Linked DNA regions of Drosophila melanogaster. The protein of the gene in region 2 interacts with the protein of the main gene of each other region in a pairwise test. Each region holds a gene or a part of one and is shown on either strand. Other genes may lie near its edges. The genes, in order: Spt6 and CG4951.

Region 1 (8,082 bases), on a different chromosome or scaffold from region 2:
ATGGAGTGGGGCTAATATTTTGTGGGAAATTCGTTGCCGGCTGGCTGGAAACTGCAGCCGGCGTCGCTTGGAAAGGGAAAACTTCGAGTTGCAGCAACAAAAAACGCGTGTATGCCGCACAAACCGCACACAAGCAAACAAGCGCTGTTTCACACACACACACATATATATATATATTTACACGGACGCTTGCAGAATGTTGGGCGTTTCCACGTGAGGTTATGTTTGTCGATAAAAAAAAAATGAAATGAAATGGAGAAAAGAAGGAATTATGAATAAAGTTTACTGTACATGGTGCAACAAACGTGGGGCGGTGGGCTTACTCAATGGTAAGGAGAGCGAGAAAGAGCGGGAGAGAGCGAGGGAAAGCCGTATGAATGGGGTTAGAGAAAGAGGCGGAATGGAATCATGTTGCCGGGAATGGCGAGAATGGAAAGGGAGTCAGTCAGTTGGTTGGGAAGAGTGCGGAGGGGGGAAAATGGACGTGGAAAACTTACCGCTCCAGCGTGTAGCGGACCAGCATGACAACAGCGGCGAATGGAATGGGCCATATGAGGTCCTTGTAGTTGGCGTGCACCACATCTGGACGCGAGCCGGGCGCAATGTCCGCCCAGGTTGTGTTCGGCGGCAGCCAAATGTGCGTACTCCAGAATACATTGCTGAACTCATTCAATATGTCCATGTTGCTGCTTCAGTTGCCGCTTCTTAATTTCTCAATTGTTTGTTTTCTTTTTCTTGGTTTTCCTTTGCTTAGCTTTCCAGTTTTTCCTTGGCGTTTGTTGTCACATATGTATATGCTTTGCTTTTTCTAAATATTCGCAATTGTATGAGCCTGTGTTATTGTGCCTTGCGAACAACAGCAACAATAACAGCAAGAACAACAATAAGCGACAACAACAGCAACAAGAACAACAACAGGAGCACCGGACACTAATGCACACTCACAGCGTAGCACAAACACACACTGGCAAAAAAACAAAAACCGCCGAATCGAATTGTTGTTGTCTTGTCTCGTTAACTTGCGCTTATGGCTTTTCTAATTCTACTTCTATTTCTATTTGGATTTCGATTTAATTCGTTTTTGGAAATGCTACCTTTGCCGTTTGTTTGGGAGCGTAAATGAAGTGAAGTTCCCTGACAATCTGTTCTCGACCAAAGCAATAGACTTTCTGAATTTCGGCTCGGTGTCGAGTCGGCCGCCGCTCGTTTCGTCCACTTAAACTTTCAGGATGAACGAAAAAAAATACTAATAGTATTTCCTCGTCGAGCAACAACAATACAGTGTGCCCAGAGACGGCGGAGCAGTAAATGTAACTGCAGCGCGACAAGTGTGCCCGTGTACGGGAAGACAAGGAAAGCCAGCAAAAATAAGGCTTTAGAAGCTACACAAAATACCAAATGCACTAATAATTTTAAAGAACTTTTAATTCACAAGTTTGCGAATTTTGTTTATTGCTTATTATTATTATTGTTCATTACGTTTACCACTAGTTTTTGAGAGAAATTATTATGCGCTACAATTAGTGTTGGTTTTTCGGTAAGAACTCATAAAAGTCAACTATGTAAAGGAAGTATGCCATGGACTATAATGGAAATTAGCAAACTTCATCGTTGAGACCAAAGGGCATATGTGTGTTCCCATATAGGGGAATTTTCCCGCTTATCAATACAAGTATGTGTGCAAAATTCTTGTCCAATTGTTGTCAGCACATGAAAACGGATAACTAACCATAGGTTATAGGAAGGATCCACTGTAGTTCTGCAATGCAAACCAGGGCTGGCAGCGAGAACACTGCTGTAAGCTAACAGCAAACTGTACTGTAAACAGTAGAAAACTGTTCGTGGTATTTAGTATTTAGCTAGTATTTTAATACCAACTTTTGTGCAATGCGATGAGAAATAAAGAAGAAGAGAAGAGGAAGAAACGCTCACAAACTCTTCGTTTCTCTGCATTAATACGCACTTTATTATTAAGTTAAGCTTTATTCCATTATATTATGGCCGAATTTCTGGACTCCGAGGCCGAGGAATCGGAGGTAGGTGTCTGCGGAACCCCAAAAACACTATTTCTAGAAGCGCGTACCGTTCGTGCGTCGTTATGTGTGCGGTGTGCGTTGCGCCTTGCGTGTGTGTACATACATATGTGCCTACATATATATTGAATTAACCAAATGGCTTTTCTTCGTTTTTCCCGCAGGAGGAGGAAGAATTGGACGTCAACGAGCGCAAGAGACTCAAGAAACTGAAGGCGGCCGTCTCCGATAGTAGCGAAGAAGAAGAAGGTGAGTTTTTCCACTGGAGCCGCTGAAGGCGCGTACAAATACATACATACATACATACGTATGTGGCGATCTCTGGCGGGTTTTTCACCCCTCTCACCATCCATCGATCGGAACAGTCCATATCCGGGATAAAGGCACCTATAACTGGCCAATGCCACACGCTTGCAACTTCTTTTGTTTACAACTTTGAGGTTAGGTCTTGTGTTTTTACCGTGCTACCGTGGCCATCAAATATCAGCATCAGCAGTAGCAATAGCAGCAGCAACAACAACAAACAGCTGCGCTCGTTCCAGTAAATAAAACAAGTGCGGCGAATTGGAAGAACGCGGCGTATTCCAAGAAATTGCAAATCAAAGCAGGGAGGGAGAATTAGTTCAATAGATGGAGCTGGAATAATCAATGGTTAGGGCTTATCTATATCGAAATCTAGGTAATTTATCAAATGTAGGTCTTTCTCAAAACCGGGTGAATTACTTAAATTTAAGCTTTAAAAACAGTTTTCAGTTGCATATGTATATCTGCGGCTACAATGAAGGTAAAAGGTAAACCGATATTCTTATTGCCCTATTCCGTAGACGACGAGGAACGGCTGCGCGAAGAGCTCAAAGATCTGATCGACGACAATCCCATCGAGGAGGACGATGGCAGTGGTTACGATTCCGATGGCGTCGGCAGCGGCAAGAAGCGCAAAAAGCACGAGGACGACGATCTGGACGATCGACTGGAGGACGACGACTACGATCTTATCGAGGAGAATCTGGGCGTCAAAGTCGAGAGACGGGTAGGTGTTCCCTTCAGGGAAGAACTATGTACTTTTTAAACTCCAATTGTGGCTCCAATTTCGAAGCTTAACTAACAAAGAATAACATAGCTGAGGGATTGGGGCTTCTATCTCCTCAAATATATTGTTTGAAATTATGTTTTCCCTTGTAGAAGCGGTTCAAGCGTCTGCGTCGCATCCACGACAACGAAAGCGATGGCGAGGAGCAGCACGTGGACGAGGGTCTGGTGCGTGAGCAGATTGCCGAGCAGTTGTTCGACGAGAACGATGAGGTATGCCACTAGTAATCCCTGACCACCAATTAATGCACAGTGTCCAACTGATTGCCCCTGATCCTACAGAGCATTGGTCATCGCAGCGAGCGCAGTCACAGGGAGGCGGACGACTACGACGACGTGGATACGGAGTCGGACGCAGATGACTTCATTGTGGACGATAATGGGCGTCCCATAGCCGAGAAGAAGAAGAAACGGCGCCCCATCTTTACAGACGCGTAAGTATACAAACTATAATAAAGTTTAGATATCAATAGATACGATTAATATAATCCAACCACAGATCACTTCAAGAGGGTCAGGACATCTTTGGCGTAGACTTCGACTATGACGACTTCTCAAAGTACGAGGAAGACGACTACGAAGATGACTCGGAAGGAGATGAGTACGATGAGGATCTGGGCGTCGGCGATGATACGCGCGTCAAGAAGAAGAAAGCGCTCAAAAAGAAGGTGGTCAAGAAGACAATCTTCGACATATACGAGCCCAGCGAGCTCAAGCGTGGTCATTTCACCGATATGGACAACGAGATTCGCAAGACAGACATCCCAGAAAGAATGCAGCTGCGAGAGGTGCCCGTAACCCCGGTGCCCGAGGGATCAGACGAGCTGGACCTCGAGGCTGAATGGATCTACAAATATGCCTTCTGCAAGCACACTGTTTCGGAACAGGAAAAGCCGGAGAGCCGCGAGAAAATGCGCAAACCACCGACAACCGTTAACAAGATTAAGCAGACGCTAGAATTTATACGCAACCAGCAGTTGGAGGTGCCCTTTATAGCCTTCTATCGCAAGGAGTATGTGAAGCCAGAGCTTAATATCGACGATCTCTGGAAGGTTTACTACTACGATGGGATCTGGTGTCAGCTAAACGAGCGAAAGCGCAAGCTAAAGGTGCTTTTCGAAAAGATGCGTCAGTTCCAGCTGGACACGCTATGCGCCGACACAGATCAACCCGTACCGGATGATGTTCGCCTCATCCTGGACAGCGATTTCGAGCGCCTCGCCGACGTACAGTCGATGGAGGAGCTAAAGGACGTGCACATGTACTTTCTGCTGAACTATTCGCATGAGCTGCCCCGCATGCAGGCGGAGCAGCGACGAAAAGCTATACAGGAGCGTCGCGAGGCCAAGGCGCGTCGCCAGGCAGCCGCCGCTGAGAACGGTGATGATGCGGCCGAGGCGATAGTTGTACCAGAGCCGGAAGACGATGACGATCCCGAGCTGATCGATTACCAACTAAAGCAGGCGTCCAACAGCAGTCCCTATGCGGTATTCCGCAAGGCGGGCATCTGCGGCTTTGCCAAACACTTTGGTCTCACGCCGGAGCAGTATGCCGAAAATCTGCGCGACAATTACCAGCGCAATGAGATCACCCAGGAAAGCATCGGTCCCACAGAGCTGGCCAAGCAATATTTGTCGCCGCGCTTCATGACCACGGATGAGGTTATCCATGCCGCAAAATACGTTGTGGCCCGACAGCTGGCACAAGAGCCTCTGCTGCGCAAGACCATGCGTGAGGTGTATTTCGACAGAGCTAGGATTAACATACGGCCCACCAAGAATGGCATGGTGCTGATCGATGAGAATTCGCCGGTGTATTCGATGAAGTACGTGGCCAAGAAGCCGGTAAGCGATCTATTTGGCGATCAATTCATAAAGCTAATGATGGCCGAGGAGGAGAAGCTGCTGGAGATAACGTTCCTCGAGGAGTTCGAGGGCAATGCGTGTGCCAACGGAACACCCGGTGACTATGTGGAAGAGTCCAAGGCCCTGTACCAGCTGGATCAGTTTGCCAAGCACGTGCAGGAGTGGAATAAGCTGCGGGCGGAATGCGTACAGCTGGCGCTGCAGAAGTGGGTCATTCCGGATCTGATCAAGGAGCTGCGCTCAACTCTGCACGAGGAGGCTCAGCAATTTGTGCTGCGTTCCTGCACGGGTAAGCTGTATAAGTGGCTAAAGGTGGCACCCTATAAACCGCAACTGCCCCCCGACTTTGGCTACGAGGAGTGGAGCACGCTGAGGGGCATACGGGTGCTGGGTCTGGCCTACGATCCCGATCACTCAGTGGCCGCTTTCTGTGCGGTGACTACCGTGGAGGGCGACATCTCCGACTACCTGCGACTGCCGAACATTCTGAAGCGCAAGAATTCTTACAACCTTGAGGAGAAGGCCCAGAAGTTGGCCGACCTTCGAAAGCTGAGTGACTTTATCAAAATGAAGAAGCCACACATTGTTGTCATCGGAGCGGAATCGCGCGATGCCCAGAACATCCAGGCAGACATTAAGGAGATTCTGCATGAACTCGAGACCTCCGAACAATTTCCGCCCATCGAGGTGGAGATAATCGACAACGAGCTGGCCAAGATCTATGCCAACTCGAAGAAGGGCGAGTCTGACTTTAAGGAGTATCCTCCTCTGCTGAAGCAGGCTGCTTCGCTGGCCCGCAAGATGCAGGATCCGCTAGTGGAATACTCACAGCTGTGTGATGCGGACGACGAGATTCTCTGCCTGCGCTACCATCCGCTACAGGAGCGTGTGCCGCGCGAACAGCTGCTGGAGCAGCTCAGCCTGCAGTTTATCAATCGAACGAGCGAGGTGGGTCTGGACATTAACCTGATGGTGCAGAACTCACGGACCATCAACCTGCTGCAGTACATCTGTGGCTTGGGTCCGCGCAAGGGTCAGGCTTTACTTAAACTTCTTAAGCAGAGCAACCAGCGGTTGGAGAACCGCACCCAGCTGGTCACCGTGTGTCATCTGGGGCCCAGGGTCTTTATCAACTGCAGCGGTTTCATTAAGATCGATACCTCATCGCTGGGCGACAGCACAGAGGCGTATGTCGAGGTGCTGGACGGGTCGCGTGTGCATCCAGAAACGTACGAGTGGGCCAGAAAGATGGCCATCGATGCCATGGAGTACGACGACGAGGAGACCAATCCGGCCGGTGCCCTTGAGGAAATTCTCGAGTCGCCAGAGCGCCTTAAGGATCTCGATCTGGACGCATTCGCTGTGGAACTGGAGCGCCAGGGATTCGGCAGCAAGAGCATAACCTTGTACGACATAAGGAACGAGTTGAGCTGCCTGTACAAGGACTACCGCACTCCGTACACAAAGCCCAGTGCGGAGGAGCTCTTCGATATGCTGACCAAGGAGACGCCCGACTCGTTTTATGTGGGCAAGTGCGTCACGGCCATGGTCACCGGTTTCACCTACCGTCGGCCGCAGGGCGATCAGCTAGACAGCGCAAATCCGGTGCGTCTAGATTCCAACGAAAGCTGGCAGTGCCCCTTCTGCCACAAGGACGACTTCCCAGAGCTGTCCGAGGTGTGGAATCACTTTGACGCGAACGCGTGCCCTGGCCAGCCATCTGGTGTGCGTGTGCGTCTGGAGAACGGCCTGCCTGGCTTTATACACATCAAGAACTTGTCCGATAGACAGGTTCGCAATCCCGAAGAACGTGTGCGCGTCTCACAGATGATTCATGTTCGCATCATTAAGATAGACATTGACCGGTTCTCAGTCGAATGCTCTTCGAGGACCGCTGATCTTAAGGATGTGAACAATGAGTGGCGGCCGCGTCGCGACAACTACTATGATTATGTGACTGAGGAGCAGGACAATCGGAAAGTGAGCGATGCCAAGGCCAGGGCTCTGAAGCGCAAAATTTACGCGCGTCGCGTAATCGCCCATCCCAGCTTCTTCAACAAGTCGTACGCGGAGGTGGTGGCCATGCTAGCGGAGGCCGATCAGGGCGAGGTGGCCCTGCGTCCGAGCAGCAAGTCCAAGGACCATCTGACAGCCACCTGGAAGGTGGCCGACGACATCTTCCAGCACATCGATGTGCGCGAGGAGGGTAAAGAGAACGATTTCAGCCTGGGCAGAAGTCTGTGGATCGGCACCGAGGAGTTCGAGGATCTGGACGAGATCATCGCCCGCCACATCATGCCGATGGCCTTGGCTGCCCGCGAACTGATACAGTACAAGTACTACAAGCCAAACATGGTGACCGGCGATGAAAATGAACGGGATGTCATGGAAAAGTTGCTGCGCGAGGAGAAGGCAAATGATCCGAAGAAGATACACTACTTTTTTACGGCCTCACGCGCCATGCCGGGCAAGTTCCTGCTGTCCTATCTGCCCAAGACGAAGGTGCGTCACGAGTATGTGACGGTCATGCCGGAGGGCTATCGTTTCCGTGGCCAGATTTTCGATACGGTTAACAGTCTGCTGCGTTGGTTTAAGGAACACTGGCTGGATCCAACGGCCACGCCGGCCAGCGCCTCGGCGTCCAACTTAACGCCACTGCACTTGATGCGTCCGCCGCCGACGATCTCGTCGTCATCCCAGACCTCCTTGGGCCCCCAGGCGCCCTACAGCGTCACTGGCAGCGTGACTGGTGGAACGCCGCGCAGTGGCATCAGCAGTGCCGTCGGCGGTGGCGGTTCCAGCGCCTACTCCATTACGCAATCCATCACTGGCTACGGCACGTCGGGCAGTTCTGCTCCAGGGGCTGGAGTATCTTCCTCCCACTATGGCAGCTCATCGACGCCGTCGTTTGGCGCCATCAATACGCCATACACGCCCAGTGGACAGACTCCGTTCATGACGCCCTACACGCCGCATGCCTCACAGACGCCTCGCTATGGTCACAATGTGCCCAGTCCCAGCTCGCAATCATCGAGCAGTCAGAGGCATCACTACGGCAGCAGTTCCGGAACGGGCAGCACGCCCAGGTATCACGA
Region 2 (4,660 bases):
CCCACCAGAAGTCCGACGATCCTCAGCGCACCTACTACCTCAACCAGAAGAAAACGCTCGAGATCAATCCCAGGCATCCGCTGATGCGCGAGCTGCTGCGCCGCGTGGAGGCCGACGAGGCCGATGACACCGCCAAGGACATGGCTGTGATGATGTTCCGCACCGCCACCCTGCGGTCTGGATACATGCTCCAGGAGACTTCGCAGTTCGCCGACAGTATTGAGCAGATGATGCGCCAGACCTTGGGTGTCTCCCAAGACGAGCAGGTGGAGTTCGACGAGGAGGAGGAGGATGATGCCGAGGAGACCGCCACCGGCAGCCAGGAGAGCGGCAACGCCGATGATGAGGAGGAGGAGCAGCAGCACGACGAGCTGTAAACTACTTCACCTCACCCACTGTCCAAATAGATTGTACATAAGAGTGTGAAGTTCAGACTGAGTTTTAAACCGCCACCGGGTGGCCGGGCGGGCACTCCATCAACATTACACGCTAGATTCTAAGTAAAATAATTTCGTAGTCCTTCGCCCACGCCGTCATCACCGCCAGTCGCCCAGAGAGCACTCCACCATTTCAGCCAGCACACTTGGTTGCTCAAGCGTTTTCTTTTTTCGAAAGCAAGTGAATTATGTATTTATACAATGTAATATGCTTAGTACACAACAGATTCCAATCAAAACAAATAAAGACAAATGAATTTAAAACTAAAACAACTGCCTATTTAATATGGCGCGCAATGTAAAATTTCCGCAATCGGATACCAAAAAATAGTTAAAAAGTGAATTGATTGCTCGATCAGTCAAGATCGGAACTCAGCGGCTCATCGTTCAGGGCCCTCAAGTAGGTGTTGTACTTCATCTGGTCGCGGATCTGCTGCACGGCCTCCGATTGGGACAGCGTGTATGTGTCCATAAAGAGGCGCACTATCCACAGCGGGAGCAGTCCGTTCACCAGCAGCGACGTGTGGTTCTGGTAATCGGGACATGTTAGGATGGATATGTGTGTCACTCCAGGACGCCCCAAACTTACGCTTCGACTGCTGTAGACCTCGCCCAGTTTCTTGAGCATCTGCTGGTGAATGCTCTTGCTCAGTATGTCGATGACGTCCATGTGGGCAATGTTCATGTAGTGACTGGTGCGCGGCTTGAACTCGCGCTCCTTGAACAGCTTATCGAAGTCGCTGCGATAGTTTTCGAACGTATTCAGCACCTCGTCCTCGCCCATTTTTTCCAAGAGTCTGAGCCAATCAAAAGAACGCAAGTTGAAGGCACATTCGTGTTCGCTTTATTTGCATCTAGTCGAGTCACTTACAAAATCTTAACCTCGCGCGGCTTGGGCGTGTCCAGCATGCTGTCCAGCCGCTGCAATGCATTGAACCGCCCTCCGTCCATGTGTTCCACCTTGAAATCTTTGGCCGGCACTGGCGATACTCGTTTCACTTTGGGCTTGGGTCCTCTGCTCTTGCCGCTCCTGGTCTCGCTGAAAATGGCAGCCAGGGAAATGATGAATGAAACTGATCGCTATAGCACCATATTTCTATGGCTTACCCAACTACGAAGTTTTTGAATCGACTCGGGCGTATGGGCGATCGGCCGGAGCGGCGTGCAGGCTTGGCCTCAACGGAGCTGGATCTGGAATTCCTGCGAATAGATCAATAGGCTCTTAGTTCTCTCACATCCTAGCCTTCGCCTAACTCACTGCTGTGATGGACTGTGCGATCGCTTAATGCGGTTGCTCTGCTGCGAGGAACTGGGGCTGCTGGAAGAAGCCTTATCCTTTTCGCCTCCTTGGGAAATGGACCTGCGCTCGCTCTTGATCTTGGTTGGTTGGCTGGCCGTGGTGGAGCTCTTGTCATCCTCGTTGTCGGCGTCAATGTGCTTGGGCTTCGATTGTGTGCTGGAGGGGAAACATGCAGTGGAGAAAACATTAAAATGCATTCAACTTCGGTACATAAAATGTGAAAGGTGCAAAGGTGGTTCATAGCTATTGGGATCAAAAACCACACAATCCAAGCCTATGGAGTATTTGGGACTAATTAATAGGGTTTCCTACCCCGCTTTTGGCTTGGATCCTGAGTTTGCTACGCGGATCTTGCGGGATGTGGGTCTGGTGCCATTTGTTTCTGCTTCCGTGGCAAGCTCGCGCTTGGCGGGAATGACGTCCACAATGGTGGTGTCCTCTTGTGTTATGTACTGCAGCTGTAGGTCCAGGCAGAGATCCTTGGAGCTGGACTCCGTACCGGCCAGAAGAGCGACCGTTGCAGGATGCGACTTATTGGTCGCCTGGACGCGCACGATGATGTGATCGATAATGAGCTCGGTGTCCAGTTGGTAGGCATCCTGCCACTGCTTCAGGTTCTCGAACAGGCGCCATAGACCACACTCAATCCGGCTCCACCGATCCGCGGTCATCCAATGGAAATCATTCTTGGATTCCCGCTCAAAATGGGTCACAGGTGTCGGCAGAACTTTGACGCTGCAGATGACGCGGTGCTTCTTGTACTGAAATGGGAGCTGCTTTAGGACATGGCGGATCACACATCTCAGTGGCTTTTACCTGGTATAATTGCGAAATTAGTTGGCAATCACCGATGGCGGAAAATGACATTTTTATAAAATTGCTATGCGTCCTGATGTGACCGTAGCCGCTGACAGGCACAGCAACAACAATTCGGGGCGGATCTTTGGGCACACTACGAGCGCTTTGGTGGTCTATCGATTGTATTTTTTTATCGACGTTTGGGCGGCAAAAAAGTATCAACTTAAGCTGAATTCAATTCATAAATATTCATTATCTGGAGAAAACTGCAAAATGTTTTTTTGGAACGTGACAAGAAATACTTTTACGTTTTACCACAGAGATCTCTATAGAAAGTATAAAAATAGTAATTATGCATAATGAACATATTAAGAATCCACCTGATATATGCATTTATTTATAAAAAAAAACAACAAAGATAAAAAAGTGTTAAGTGTTAATTAGGACAAAAGTTCAGAACGTGTTCACAATGTGCAATCGTGTGACACAAGTGACGATGAGATTTTGAAACCAAAACTGAGAATTGTTTTTACTCTGAATGAATGAGGGGCGCTATCAATGAATCTCCCAGAACTTACAAATCCTTATCAACAGAAGCGTGTGGCTTAGGTCAAGTCTCGCCAAGAGAACAGCCGGACTACACAGTGCAGCAAAATCGTTCCCATTCTGCGAAAGTGGTTACCTAAAAACTAAGTTGGCTAGAGAGATAGCTTGGATGCCCATGACCTCCTCCTTATTATTCAAAGCAGTGGCTTAGAATGCGCACCAAAGATGGTGAAAGTGTGCGGAACGACGTCATAGTAATATAATTCATTATAATCTCTGTTGTCCAGTGCTGCTGGTCAACATGATTGCGAAAAAAAAGCACACGCCGATGGGATCGGAGAGATGCTGCTGCTTGCTCAGTTCTCAATCGCGTTCCGGATTAGGTAGTCGAGCTTGTTGGGTTTTTCAAATAATCCGGGTCGATCGATCACTGGCCGCACTACTTTATTATATTATACAAACTGCGTGTGTGCCCTGCGAATCGGACCAATATGCTCTCAATCTCGAGCTACTTTCGACTGCCCCTATACACGCGGCTGGCAGTTTGCATCCTGATCTGCGTGATTTTGAATGACTGCGAGGCCAGGAGTATTGGCGACGAGTCCCATGAGAACGCGATTACGGATGAGACGGCCGACTACCTGCGATCCCATGGCGCCATGATGAAGTCCTATATGAACTTCAGCGTCGATCCGTGCGACGACTTCTACGAGTTCGCGTGCGGCAACTGGAAGAACGTGAAAACGCCGCGGCAATCGCCCCATAGGCGGAGCAATATTCTGGACATCAGCTACACACTGATGGACGTGACGGAGCAGCTGCTGACCAGGACAAAGTTGGCGGAGGCACTGAACGTGTCCGCCGAGCTGCTCGTTGCACAACGCTTCTACAATTCCTGCCTGGCGGCCGAGCTCTTTCCGCGGCCCGCTGCCGATCCCGCTTATCTATCGGTTATCAGGTCGCTGGGTGGTTTTCCCGCCGTCGACAGAGACGCCTGGAACGCCTCCAGCTTCAGTTGGTTCAACATGAGCGCCCATCTCAGCAACTACGGCGTTCGCAGTTTGATCCACGAAGAAATTCTGCCGCAGCATCCCTTCAATCCGTACTTCAAGCTACCCGAACTGGGCTTTGACCATGTCGTCCACACCGCTCACGTTGCCAATACGAGCTCGCGGGCCTACCAGCTCAACGAGCATCGCATGCGTGGCTACCTGAAGGAATACAATCTCACGAAGGATGAAATCTCTGCCGTGATCGAAGGCGTCTTTGCTTTTTGGAGCGAGGCGCTCAGTATTGAGGATAAGTTCGAGAGCGATAGGGATAAGTGCGATTTGCTCAGTGAGATTGAGGAGGTGCCGCGATTTGGTCAGTGGAGGAGCTACTACGAGATAGCCTGGAATGGTATAGACTTTTACAACGGCTCGTCCGGTGGCGAATTCTGCGACTTTTACTATGTGGAGCTCGACAAGGTGTGCGCCAAGCATACGGAGGCGGTGGCCAATTATCTAGCCATGCGGTTTCTCTACCGCATGGACGACAAGCTGAAGGAGCCCAAGCAGCCGGAGGACCAAAAGGTTAA

What was found.
Region 1: the proteins of CG4951 (region 2) and Spt6 interact in a two-hybrid assay, tested with the Drosophila melanogaster proteins (one large-scale study listed by BioGRID).

Annotation. Positions count from the first base shown.
Region 1 is NC_004354.4:6,265,910-6,273,991, forward strand, and holds the start of Spt6 (Spt6), read left to right. Parts: upstream 1-1,887; 5' UTR 1,888-1,997; coding exon 1,998-2,036; intron 2,037-2,197; coding exon 2,198-2,282; intron 2,283-2,857; coding exon 2,858-3,063; intron 3,064-3,215; coding exon 3,216-3,335; intron 3,336-3,404; coding exon 3,405-3,556; intron 3,557-3,621; coding exon 3,622-8,082. Other genes in the region: schlank, read right to left, coding at 498-682. UniProt on the Drosophila melanogaster protein: Histone H3-H4 chaperone that plays a role in maintenance of chromatin structure during RNA polymerase II transcription elongation.
Region 2 is NT_033777.3:27,951,449-27,956,108, forward strand, and holds CG4951 (uncharacterized protein), read right to left. Parts: upstream 2,665-4,660; 5' UTR 2,605-2,664; coding exon 2,554-2,604; intron 2,499-2,553; coding exon 2,050-2,498; intron 1,894-2,049; coding exon 1,696-1,893; intron 1,638-1,695; coding exon 1,545-1,637; intron 1,477-1,544; coding exon 1,309-1,476; coding exon of another isoform or gene 1,305-1,308; exon of another isoform or gene 1,254-1,304; intron 1,235-1,253; coding exon 1,027-1,234; intron 967-1,026; coding exon 793-966; 3' UTR 603-792; downstream 1-602. Other genes in the region: Gp93 (glycoprotein 93), read left to right, coding at 1-377; Nep7 (neprilysin 7), read left to right, coding at 3,573-4,660.